Linked DNA regions of Arabidopsis thaliana. The main gene of each other region encodes a partner of the protein of the gene in region 2 in a complex. Each region holds a gene or a part of one and is shown on either strand. Other genes may lie near its edges.

The links. Proteins that work in one complex are often made in the same cells at the same time.
Region 1: emb1473 (region 2) and AT5G47190 share a complex: the UniProt entries of both Arabidopsis thaliana proteins name them as parts of the 50S ribosomal subunit.
Region 3: emb1473 (region 2) and PSRP6 share a complex: the UniProt entries of both Arabidopsis thaliana proteins name them as parts of the 50S ribosomal subunit.

Annotation. Positions count from the first base shown.
Region 1 is NC_003076.8:19,163,624-19,167,821, reverse strand, and holds AT5G47190 (Ribosomal protein L19 family protein), read left to right. Parts: upstream 1-1,686; 5' UTR 1,687-1,757; coding exon 1,758-1,787; intron 1,788-1,876; coding exon 1,877-2,206; intron 2,207-2,377; coding exon 2,378-2,464; intron 2,465-2,552; coding exon 2,553-2,686; intron 2,687-3,281; coding exon 3,282-3,390; 3' UTR 3,391-3,638; downstream 3,639-4,198. Other genes in the region: RAB1A (RAB GTPase homolog 1A), read right to left, coding at 14-61, 284-356, 780-793. UniProt on the Arabidopsis thaliana protein: Located at the 30S-50S ribosomal subunit interface and binds directly to 23S ribosomal RNA.
Region 2 is NC_003070.9:29,574,049-29,578,443, reverse strand, and holds emb1473 (Ribosomal protein L13 family protein), read right to left. Parts: upstream 2,639-4,395; 5' UTR 2,448-2,638; coding exon 2,196-2,447; intron 1,888-2,195; coding exon 1,702-1,887; intron 1,502-1,701; coding exon 1,331-1,501; intron 1,155-1,330; coding exon 1,038-1,154; 3' UTR 564-1,037; downstream 1-563. Other genes in the region: AT1G78620 (integral membrane protein (Protein of unknown function DUF92, transmembrane)), read left to right, coding at 2,686-3,135, 3,463-3,716, 3,864-3,987, 4,101-4,205.
Region 3 is NC_003076.8:5,905,658-5,909,024, reverse strand, and holds PSRP6 (plastid-specific 50S ribosomal protein 6), read right to left. Parts: upstream 1,437-3,367; 5' UTR 1,278-1,436; coding exon 888-1,277; 3' UTR 561-887; downstream 1-560. Other genes in the region: CSA1 (disease resistance protein (TIR-NBS-LRR class)), read left to right, coding at 90-151.

The sequences.
Region 1 (4,198 bases), on a different chromosome or scaffold from region 2:
TGAAGGTGCTTACAAAGTCAACACCAATGGTGCTTATGTAGCTATCCAGGTAAGAATCATCCTGTCCACATAAAATTCAAGATATCAGGAAATAAGAACACAAAGGAGTAACAATGATACCATAGTGAGAACTAAGCTAATCCAATGGAGTAATGACTTTTGAGTTTTGAGTCTTGAGCAACAGGTATTGAACTCCAAGATGTGATCCTCAAATTTTTGTGTGTACACAATGTTAAAAAGTAACTACCAGAGATGATGAATCCAGAATTGTGGGAATACTTACAGCAAATCTTAGAAGCAAGCATGATTTTCCAACACCAGAATCACCAATAAGCAGAAGCTTGAACAGATAGTCACTGCAACAACAGAACGGTAAACACCAATCTCAGTGAAGCTCATAAACTCATGAAAATTCGGGTCAGGAAATAAAAACGCAAGAACATCTATATACAATATGCTAATGAGATCAAAGGGAAAATTGTGTCACACTCGCGAATTTCAACTACAACAGTAAACAGAAATTGCAGATCTCGATCAAATTTCCTCGGATCTGACCTGTATAAGATCCATGGAACGAAAATCCAAATCTATACAAAATTCTAATACAAAATACCTTAAACGAGCAAAATTAGGTAGATTCAATTCACAAACCTAACAACCAACAAAGATCCAAAGCAAAATCGAACAAAAACCAAATCACCAAACACATCAAAAAATAAAAAACGCGGATCGATCCGAAACAATAGATACATGAAACAACGAGAAGACAAGTTTCTTACTATTCAGGATTCATTATCCCTCAACGAGAATCTGACGATTAAAGGAATCTCCGGCAGTCAATTCAGCGATCGTCGTCGGCCAAAAAAACGAGAGAGACGTGAATGTTCTTTTTTTTTTCTTCTATGTGGCTTTGGCTTATTAAGTGCTCTTTTTGTCAATGACACGGTTAAGAAAAAAGAAAAAAAGGGACCCACTCTTTTCGACATTTAAATGCGTTTTGGTTTTGATGTTTGAATGCTGACGTGGCCGAGCCAACTCAGAGAGATGCGTGGAGGACAAAAGAATCAATCAATCTTTTTTCTTCTTCTTTGTCGATTTTTGTTCTTTTCTTTTTTGATTCTATACAATCGGAGAATAACTATCTTTAGGAGATTAAAATTTCGTATCCAATTAATGTAACTTTTTATATGTATGCTAATATTACGTACTGTTGTCAAGCTTTTAATTAAACCACCTGTAAGAGAATATATATTCGTTTCACAAAGAAAGAAGATGGAATATTTTGATTATTATCTTTTTGGTATTCTGATTAAACTAACATATAATAGCTTTTCATCGCTTGCGGTGTAAGTCAATGTAACGTGAACATGTAGACGACTTGAATATACAACATAGTCACATAGAATAATATTTCAACTCCAGCAGAAATTTATTCGTCAATCATAACTTTTAAAAGGCCCAAAGTAGATTATTTAGAGCTATCAATTTAAGGACACATAAACATACATTTGTTTGTAACAGAAACTCTTTATTTAAACCATTTTTGGTTCTACATTAGTGTACTTGGACAAGCCTTGGTTCGTGGTGGTAGACTGGTAGAACCAGCTTTGGTAATGGGTTTCTTGTTATATCAATTGAATATGGGCCTAAATGTCTAGGCCCATAAAATTAGTAAATGGCCCATAAATTGAAATACACGGAGCGGATAAGCGATAAGGCTCTTCTTTACTCTGGTTTCGAGTTTGGGTTGTGCAAACATGGCGACGAGCTCTCATCTTCTTCCTCAGGTTCTTCTTCTTCACTCTCTCACGCTCAATCACATTTTCATACTTATGCTTCTTTGAATTCTGTATTTATCTACCATTTATGGAACCAGGCATTGCATATGATACCGAGAACCCCTTCTTTCTCGTCGAAGAATTTAGGGGTTTCTTCAATTCTACCACGAGCATCATCAGTGAACTCAAGACTATCAGTTTCTAGGGTTTTTCTCAATCATTCGAGCTCCAATTTTGGTTTCGCCATCGATTCCAAGAAGAGAAAAGAGTTTATCGCTAAAGCTGAAGAGAGTACTGAAGGTGAAACTGAGGCTGTTGTGGAGAATGCTGTTGAAACTGAAGCGGAAGGAGAAGGAGAAGCCACTGTTGCGGCGGAGGAAGCTAAACCTCCGTGGAAGACGAGAGTCAAGCTCGGAGATATCATGGGGGTTAGTTCATTATCCAATGTGATTCTATGAGATTGTCTAGTGTTTTGTTTTGGCTCTGAATCTGATTATACATGTCTGATACTGTAGTTGTTTTGGCTCCTGTTCTTAAATCATCAGTTATCTTTTAGGCATTGGAGAAATGAAATGTTGATTTGCTTTTTGTTTCTGTAGCTACTGAACAAGAAAGCTATTGAGGTTGCAGAGACTGTAAGACCGGTTCCTGGACTTAGGACTGGGGATATTGTAGAAATCAAACTGGTAAAACTCATTGTCCCCGTATAATCTTATGCAATTTATGCATTTAACTGCAAGATTTTGATACGACATGGTGGGTTTGATTTTACAGGAAGTTCCTGAGAACAAACGTAGGCTATCTATCTACAAAGGTATTGTGATGTCTAGACAAAATGCAGGCATCCACACTACTATCCGTATCCGGAGGATTATTGCAGGCATTGGTGTTGAAATCGTCTTTCCCATGTAAGTTTATTCTTCCTTAACTATCCTATTATCACACACTTACTCGGGTATATTGATAAGTATAAATGTAAATAGTATTAGATAGTCAGAGTTAAGGGTCTTTGACCTTGTTAAGGAGTCTTTTGGCTTTGAGAGAGATTTTAGGAACTCTAAAACAAACCGGAATTAGCTTCTTTTATCGTGAACAGTCATAGTCTTCGCTTCTTGAGAACTTAAGAGATTTACAATTCTATATCTGATCATATGTATTAGCTTTCTTCACGAAAAAAGGAAATAATTGCTACTCCAAGTATGATACTATAGGAACTAGTACATAAATGCTGGAAGTCTTAGCATTATAGGTCACCAAGCTTTGTGCTTATTTACTACAGAAACGCGCACCAACCTTTAATCTTAATCACTCTAGAGTCTAGCCGTTATCATAACATACTAGTCCCTATGAACTTTCCAGTACTATTGGCTGATTCTACAATGAAGTAATATGTAACTGATATGTTTTGATCTTGAACAGATACTAATCTACACAATCAAGTAATATGTTTTGATCTTGGTTTAGAATATGTATCTGATGTGATGTGTGTTTTGAATTTAACAGATACTCTCCCAACATAAAGGAGATAAAAGTGGTAAGTCACAGGAAAGTGAGAAGAGCAAGACTTTACTATCTGAGGGACAAACTTCCTCGTCTCTCAACTTTTAAATGATCACCAAACCCAACACCAGTCTTGTCTTGTGTTGTCTTCAATCTCCAAAGGTAGCTAGCTACTCTCTTTTCTCTTGTAATAATTGTTTGTTTGTTTCGTCTTTTGGATTTCATTTCTTTTCATGTAATTTACAGTAACAGTAATTTAAGAAAAGTAAATCAATGTTGATTGTTTTGATCTTGAGTATGTAGAATCTGGACCCTTTAGTATTCTTTTTCAGAAATATGACTGATTTAATCATTAAAATAAAACTTTTGAATCATTGAAATTGCTTTTCAAAATAGATTTTTTACATGTAAAATCATGTAATTCATTCATGTAAATGAATTTTCCAGCTAAAGCAGGAAAAAAGAAACGAATGATTGAGTATTTTTCTTGTCTCTTTCCTCTGTATGATGACTTTTATGTCCGATAATTAATTACTTGCTAACAATCAATCATTAATGGACACGGAGAAATAAATTTAAAATATCATCAATCGTGAGAGACGAAAAATGGCCTACCACCCTGAAAGCTCATTATAGCCTTTTTAGCCACTATATAAAATCAAACACCAATCAATATCTGCCACGTCATCATCCTCTTTTTTCCAGCCTGTCGCTTTTAACCTTTGTTTTTTCGTCTCTTACAATGCACAACTGTTTTCACACGTGTCACATTTTTCCCTCTCTTCTCTCTCTTTCGCTCTTTCTTCTTCCCCGCAGTTCCCGGAGACGACGCCGGAGGAAAATCGTACGGAAACTTTGCTTCGACTTCACGTGGCCGCTCCACGAAGCGCCTTTGGGTTTCGTCTTCCCCGTTTCTCTTT
Region 2 (4,395 bases):
CCAAATATTCAACTTGTTTTCATATTATTATGTAGATTTAGCATTCAAGTTTTTCATTCGGATTTTTAAAGTACTTTTTAAAATTTAGATTTTGTTTATTCGGATTTTAAAAATCTTTTTTCATGTGTTTATTTTTTAAAATTATATTATTTAATGGATACTAAATTTATATAATGATATGAAATCTAACCGGATTTTGGATCCAGCAATAGTCGTTAGCGATTCCAAACATTCAACTTGTTTTTCCTATTATTATGTAGATTAAACATTCAAGGTTTTACTTCGCATTTTTTAAAATAGTTTTAATATTATTTTTTTGGATGCTAAATTTACATAATGATATGAATACTAACCGGATTTTGGATCCAACATTAGTCGTTAGCGATTCCAAACATTCAACTTGTTTTCATATTATTATGTAGATTTAACATTCAAGATTTTTATTTGGATTTTTAAAAATAGTTTTTAAAATTTTGATTTTGTTTATTGTCGGATTTTAAAAATCTTTTGTGTTTGTTTGTTTGTTTTTAAATTTATTTGGATGCAAAATTTACATAATGATATGAATACTAACCGGATTTTGGATCTAGCATTAGTCGTTAGCGATTCCAAACATTCAAATTGTATTTCCTATTATTATGTATATTTAACATTCAAATTTTGGATCCAGCATTAAAAATTTCAGTTTTAAGTAATGACTCGATTAAGGCATGAATATTAGATTTTCCTTGCATCTGTGATCTCATTGGGAAGGTTTGTTACCAATTGAAGAGGAAGTTTTTGTTAATGGTGACTACTGTTGCTTATGGCATTTGTATTCATTACATGTCATCTTTTTCATGTTGAAGAAGATATTCAGTAGCAAAAAAAAATAACGAGAAATATTTCAAATTAGAAAGTTTTGTAGCATAACAGAGTTGATAGAAGCGAAAACAAGAATCTGTAAAGCCTCCTCTGGTTTTGGGATGAAGAAACTACAGAAACCTGAGAAGAAAAAACTCTCTGCGCTTGGCGATAATGGAACAGTGGTGGAGCTTCTATTTTTGCAGCTGTATTCTCTTGTCCCTGATAGGCAGATCAAGCGGTTTCTGGGCCTCGTGAGGATGGTCAGGGCCTTTGTACACCTTCAGGTGATTGAACAGAGCTCTCCCAAGCTGCCACAAAATGGTCAGACCAAAGTTAAGAGGGAGTTGGAAAACTAGTAATCAATCAATACCAATATCGCAACAAGTAGTTTCCAAGTTCAATCCATAAGTTTGAAGAAACACGGATTTGCTAAGTGTTAAGACTTAAAGGAGACTAATAAAGAGCTGTGGATTATGTATCTAACCCGTCCCTTTGGAAGCATTCCACGAACAGCATGCTCAACGATTCTTTCAGGAATTCTCTGCTGCAATTGATCAAATGTCTCTACTGTCATACCACCAGGTCGTCCTGAATGCCTCCTGTACAGCTTTTGGTTACGCTTCTTTCCAGATACAGCAACTTTCTCAGCATTCACCTTTAACCAAACAATTGAAAACAGTATTAGAGGTACCAAGTTACAAGCATTGCCCAAACATCTACATAGAGGCTCTACATCTTGCTGCTAATGTGAATCTTACTAAAACCAAATCCCAAGGCTCCTCCTTCAGGAAGAAATTAACTAAAGCAGCACATCAAATTTCTTATTCTCTACAGATAGCTCAAAGAAACTCATACCACAATCACAAAAGCTCCCATGTCGACACTAGGAGTGTAAGAGGCAAGATTCTTCCCACGGATGTGATTAGCAATTGTCGATGCCAATCTACCAAGAATTTTGTCAGTTGCATCAACCACAAACCAGGGCTTGTCCGTGTTCACATGGTCTGAAGCTTTTGGATACCATGTCGTGTTCCAGATGTCCTGTAAACCATAGAATACACTCAATAAAGGTTTCAAGCCAAAGACTTTTAACTTCTCTCCAACCAAACATTAATAATTTCATAAAACGTCCAAGTTAACAAATTCAGAAGAATAAACATCAATTTTCGAAGCCAATTGATGCAGACAACACAGCTAATGAGTCAAAGGCAAAATCCACTACTTAATAAATCGCAATTGGGAGAAGAAAAAAACAAGCCATACTTCAAATTCAAAGCAAGAGCTAAAGTGCGACACTTTATAAATGCGTAGATGCTAAACACAGAGGGAGATAGAAAAATTATCGTTACAGGGCCATTAGCTTCTTCTTCGTCGAACATCCATCGTTGATTCGCCGGAACAAGAGAAGTCGTCGTCGTCGGCTCAGCTTCACACTTCACTTGCAATCCTCTTTTCGAATTCGCATAAATGCCGACTCGTACCGACGGCTTCGAGATAGCCGTTAAAGAGAACCCTAAAAACGGAGACTTTCTCTCACTTCCGGAGGATTTCACGGAAGAAGAAGAGAGTATCACCGTCGAAGACGAGCAAAGAACCGCCATTTTTGTTTTTCTCTCTTCTGCAAATTTCTTCTGCTCTTTCCGATTTCTCGGATAAGATTGGGTTCTCAGTAAATAGTAGTAGTGGCAACACCGTAAATAATCTGATGAATACGACCGAAAAATAAACACAACACGGGTTAAGGATCCGGGTTTTTTTCGGAGCTCCGGATTCAACCCGAAATACTGTTTTTTTTTTCTCAATAGGAGAGAAAGGTCTTCTTCGGAAGCAAGCTAAGTCATGGCAACGATTTCGTCAACTCTACTCTTAAATTCTTCTAGATCAGCTTTACCACTAAGATTCCCAAAATTCTCGGGATTTTCTTCTTCCTCTCCATTCGCTAGATCTTACAGATTTGGACGACGTAATCTGGAACCACTTTCCAACGGAATGCTTTCGTCGGGAAGTAGAGCCGACGGTGCTACGGCGGCGGCTGCATCGATGGAAGGAGTGATGACGGAGGCGATGAAACTGATTCAATCGGCGTCACCAACTTGGAAATCAGCTGTGGCTAACAATTTATTGATTTTTGTTCTCGGTTCACCGCTTCTTGTTACCGGATTGTCCGCTTCTGGGATCGCCGCCGCGTTTTTGCTTGGTACTTTAACTTGGAGAGCTTATGGCTCTGCTGGTTTCCTCTTAGTCGCTGCTTACTTCGTCATAGTAAGTGCATTTGTGATCAACCTGAATGTAATTCGGTAACTGACTCTTAGAACGTAGAAATTCGCTGCTTTGATTTTGATTTCGAGCTGATGAATGAAGAATGTCCTTAGATTTTAGATGTGTTATTGTTTAATTTAGGAATTGTGGACGTGTTAGAGATCCTAAATCACGTTTACAGATTAAGGAGCTACTTTTTCTGATCATGCTCAACATTGAGATACTTAGTCTTTTCTCTGCAATGCTTTAAGTTTTAGATTTCAATATCGTGTTTCACCCCAGAGCTGGAAATAGTAACAGTAAATTTGCAATTGATTCTGGCGCTGAAGTTGGTTTAGATGATTTACAATATCACAGGGAACAGCGGCAACGAAGGTTAAAATGACGCAAAAGGAAGCACAAGGTGTGGCCGAAAAGAGAAAGGGTAGAAGAGGACCACGCAGTGTGATTGGTTCAAGTGCTGCTGGTTGTGTCTGTGCTTTTCTTTCAATATATCAAGTGGGAGGAGCAGCTTTTTCCCAGCTTTTCCGGCTTGGTTTTGTTTCCAGTTTCTGCACTAAAGTATCTGACACTGTCTCGAGCGAGATAGGCAAAGCTTATGGAAAAACAACGTGAGTATGCTACTGTTATCCAGCTATAGCCTCTTCTGTTATGGTCTGTGTCTGTTTTCTGTCTGATGTATGGCATGGACTTGTGGTGTCATGACATGAATCCAATCGACAACTGAAATGATCTTACTAACCATTGCCAATTCGCAGGTATTTAGCTACGACATTTAAGATTGTACCAAGAGGAACAGAGGGAGCTATGAGTCTTGAAGGAACATTGGCTGGACTTTTAGCATCATTTTTTCTTGCATCTGTTGGCTGCTTCCTGGGTCAGGTAATAGTGTTATTTGCTACCAAAATTTCCCTTCACAGCTTCTTTATGCTACTAAAGACTGTTATCATTACACGATTTTTAAACTTCTTTTCCTTTTGATATCTTGAACACAGATAACTCCTCCAGAAGCAGCTGTATGTGTACTAGCTTCCCAGATTGCCAATCTTGGAGAGAGCATAATAGGTGCTTCTTTTCAAGACAAAGAAGGATTCAAATGGGTATGCTCACTTCAATGAACTCTCTTCTTTTTGTTTTATTGATCTCACTCTGTCTACTTGTTGTCAATGCAAGAAGATGATAATCAAATGAATATACCGTCACTTCTTGCAGAAAGACTGATAGATAACTGGCTTGAGTGGAAAACGATTTCCATTCAATACAGAATTTTGAAGTTTTCGTCTTATGAAT
Region 3 (3,367 bases), on a different chromosome or scaffold from region 2:
TCACACTATTTATTCTTTCGAACTCTCTGTATTTGTATCTTCATTGTGTATTTCTCCAGATGATTTGACTTAAGCTTTTAAGGTGTCAGGGTTTAATGGGTTCAACGGGATGTACTCTGTATGCGTGCTTTATGAAATGTATAGCCATTGATGTTGATCTTGGAATTGACTCCATAAACATGCAATGCAAGATAAATCGATCTTCTAAATTTCTCCTGGGACTAGACCGATACAAGATAGATTCAAGAATCAGAGTGATCAACCCATAACTGATATAAACATTTCTAAAAATGTTTTTGCTGAAACTCTTCATCAAACACACTTTAGATCACTTGGCTTAAAAATCTACAATAGAGTGTTTAGACCAAGTGTTGCACTATGGTGAGCAGAGCACATTGCCGTTTCACCTGAATCCAATCTAAAGGGAAATTTTAAAATTCCAATAATGCGGTATACTATACCGTACTCTTTAGAAGCTACATTCCCATTGCTATGGCAGCAAACAGAGCATTTGACAACAACTCCAGCATCAACCGCCACAAAACAGATACCATTGTGCTTTCATTTTCACATATCAAACTTAAACTCTTGTCATCCCAATTCAATTACTACTTGCAGAAATTAATGAGACCCAAAAGGAAAAAAGCAATTATAGAGAAGCAACATAGATGACAATGACGAGAGCTATAAACTATAAAGTTGAGACCTTTAAACTCAAAAACAGAGGAGAAAGGTTGAAGCTTTATAAATCGCAAATTTGGTCCATTCATTCACCAATCAAACACAAACAAACCCAACAACAAACATCAGAAAACTGAAAACACAGTAAACAACAACAAAAGTTCTCAAACTAGATTACAACCAAATCAGCAGATAACTCATACCAACTAGGCAGCGCCTGAAACCAAATCTCCCGCAGCAGTGGCAGCACCACCGTCGTCAGAAGCGAGAGTGAACGGACTCCATTCCGCCGGAAGAGGAGGAAGAGGAGCGTAAACAGTAGGCTTTCTCTTAATGTCCCAAGGCTGAGTCTTCTTCGGCCTCGTCTTCCTGTGATGAGCCGTCGATTTCTTCTGTGGCCTCGACGAACACTCTATCACCATCCCTAATCCTCCTCCATTACCCAATTTTGGAACTTGAAATTGGCGGAGAACCGGAGAAGCAGCAACGGTGACGATTCCGGTACCAAAGATCGCTGACACAGACATGGTTTCCTTATCTTTGTGCAAGTGAAAGTGAGTTTGAGCCTCTTGCTTCGGATTAGAGAAGAACTTCATATCTTCGTTTTCGTTTTTCCTGGGCTTTTTTATTGGGCCTTTGAGGTGTCTATTGGGCCTTTGTATATAGTTATGTAACTCGTTATGCTGCAAGCCTGCAGGCTGCAACAATCTATAAGATAAGAAGAGAACAAAAATTAAATTATTAGTGGCATCGAACTTTTTGTTGCTTAAACGTATCGAACTGTATAACCTCGTTAATTAAAGGAATTTAAGAATAGAGTAGCTGATTAAAAATGTATATTTTGCAATTTGTAAAGATGTCATGTATGATGTATACAGAGTTTTAAATGTTTTCTTTAACCTTAAACCAATAATGCTACAAGTGACTACGAGATAAGGTCTTTTGAATCACTTCTACAATAAAATACATTATTTCGGATTCTGCATCTTTTAATACTACACAAAAAAATACTTTTTTTATTAGTTTGAGTTTTAGGATTTATTTATATTCAAAGTATGCTTATTAAATTAATAAATTTGAATTTTCTTAACTTTGTTGTGTAATTTTTTTTTTCTTTTTTTTATAAACAAGACACGATTCATAGTCAATCCTTATTATGCGAAGTAACACGACTTAGTAGAGTCAAACTCTGGTAAAAAAGGTAGAATCAAATGGATTTAACTACTTAACTAAAAACATATTCTCATTTATGGTGTAATTTAGTTATCGAATTTGAGGAAGAAAACTAACTTTTTGTTTCAAAAAAAACACTATAAAAATGTTTATGTTATCATTGCTTCCTCTCTTTTAAAAAAGAAAATAAAATTAAGCTAGCGAACATTTATGTGAACTGACATTCGAAGACATCCATTCTAGTGGCTTTTAGGGTTTTTCAATGCTGCCAAAGCGACCAATAAATATATTTGTCCAAAACCTGTCTAATACTTATGGTTAATAATGTATTATACCTCAATAACAAGCCTAAGTTAGGCTTCAAACTAGCTACTATCACCAACCTAACCAATTTCACATTATATCAAAATAATCAATTGTCAGCGAAAATTGCGATTGCCATGAAAATTACTCTTCTTTACGTAGACTCAAAAACATTTACTAAAATTATGGCCCAAAATAAGATTACTTTCTTCTACGTGACTAGCATTATCCAATACATTCACCAAATCCACGTGCATCGGATTATCACCCCTTATTTTGTTGTCGACAAATTTGATTCTTTGGGTTCTTTATTTACAATAATAGTACTACGTATCTCTATATCAACAGCTCAGCCACTCGATTACACTAGTACGAAGAGATTCTGTTGGTTAGATCAAATTAGGTATCACAAACCTACGGTACCCATTGTTGCATTAGTATATAGTTTCGCAAACCTTATCCTTATCTTAGCACCGTTGAAATTATAACCGCGAGATAACACTTATCTGACTCTTTTTTTTCTAATCCCACTTATATATCAATCAATTTCATTCATTTTTAGAATCACGAAATTTGATTATTTGTCTTAAGTACGAGTCATCAACCATGGATAGTTAAATAGTTTTTTTTTTTTTAACATCTTGTTTTATTTTATTAGAATTGAAAGAAAGATTACATAGTTATTAGACACACACATATAACCAAAAGATGATTTAAGTTTAAGAAGAAGATACAATCGAACAAGTGAATTAAACAAATTAAATAGTTATACACGATATAACACATACATACATATATATAACACATACATACATATATATATATATATTTGTTTACAATATTATTTGATGGTTTTATATAAACAAATATTAGTCTATTTACAGGTAAGTGTCTTGTATAAAGGCCTAATTTGAGCCAGTTTTAGTCATGTGATTGCATTACATCGAGAAGAGAACCATATATGAATCGATTGCTCTCGTCCGTTTGCACTTTGCATTATTGCGTTATTTTGTTTTCTTGGAATTAGAGTTTGTATTTTGTACTGCACTAGCCATGCCAGCTAAATGAATATACCAGGAATCTTTTGGATACTTTTTTTGTTTATCAATATTTTTATTTCGGACCTTAATTAAAGGAAATTGATCTTGGTCGGAAATATTTATATATTATCTAGAAAATTTTAAAAGATACGTAAAACAAGCTTTTCCTT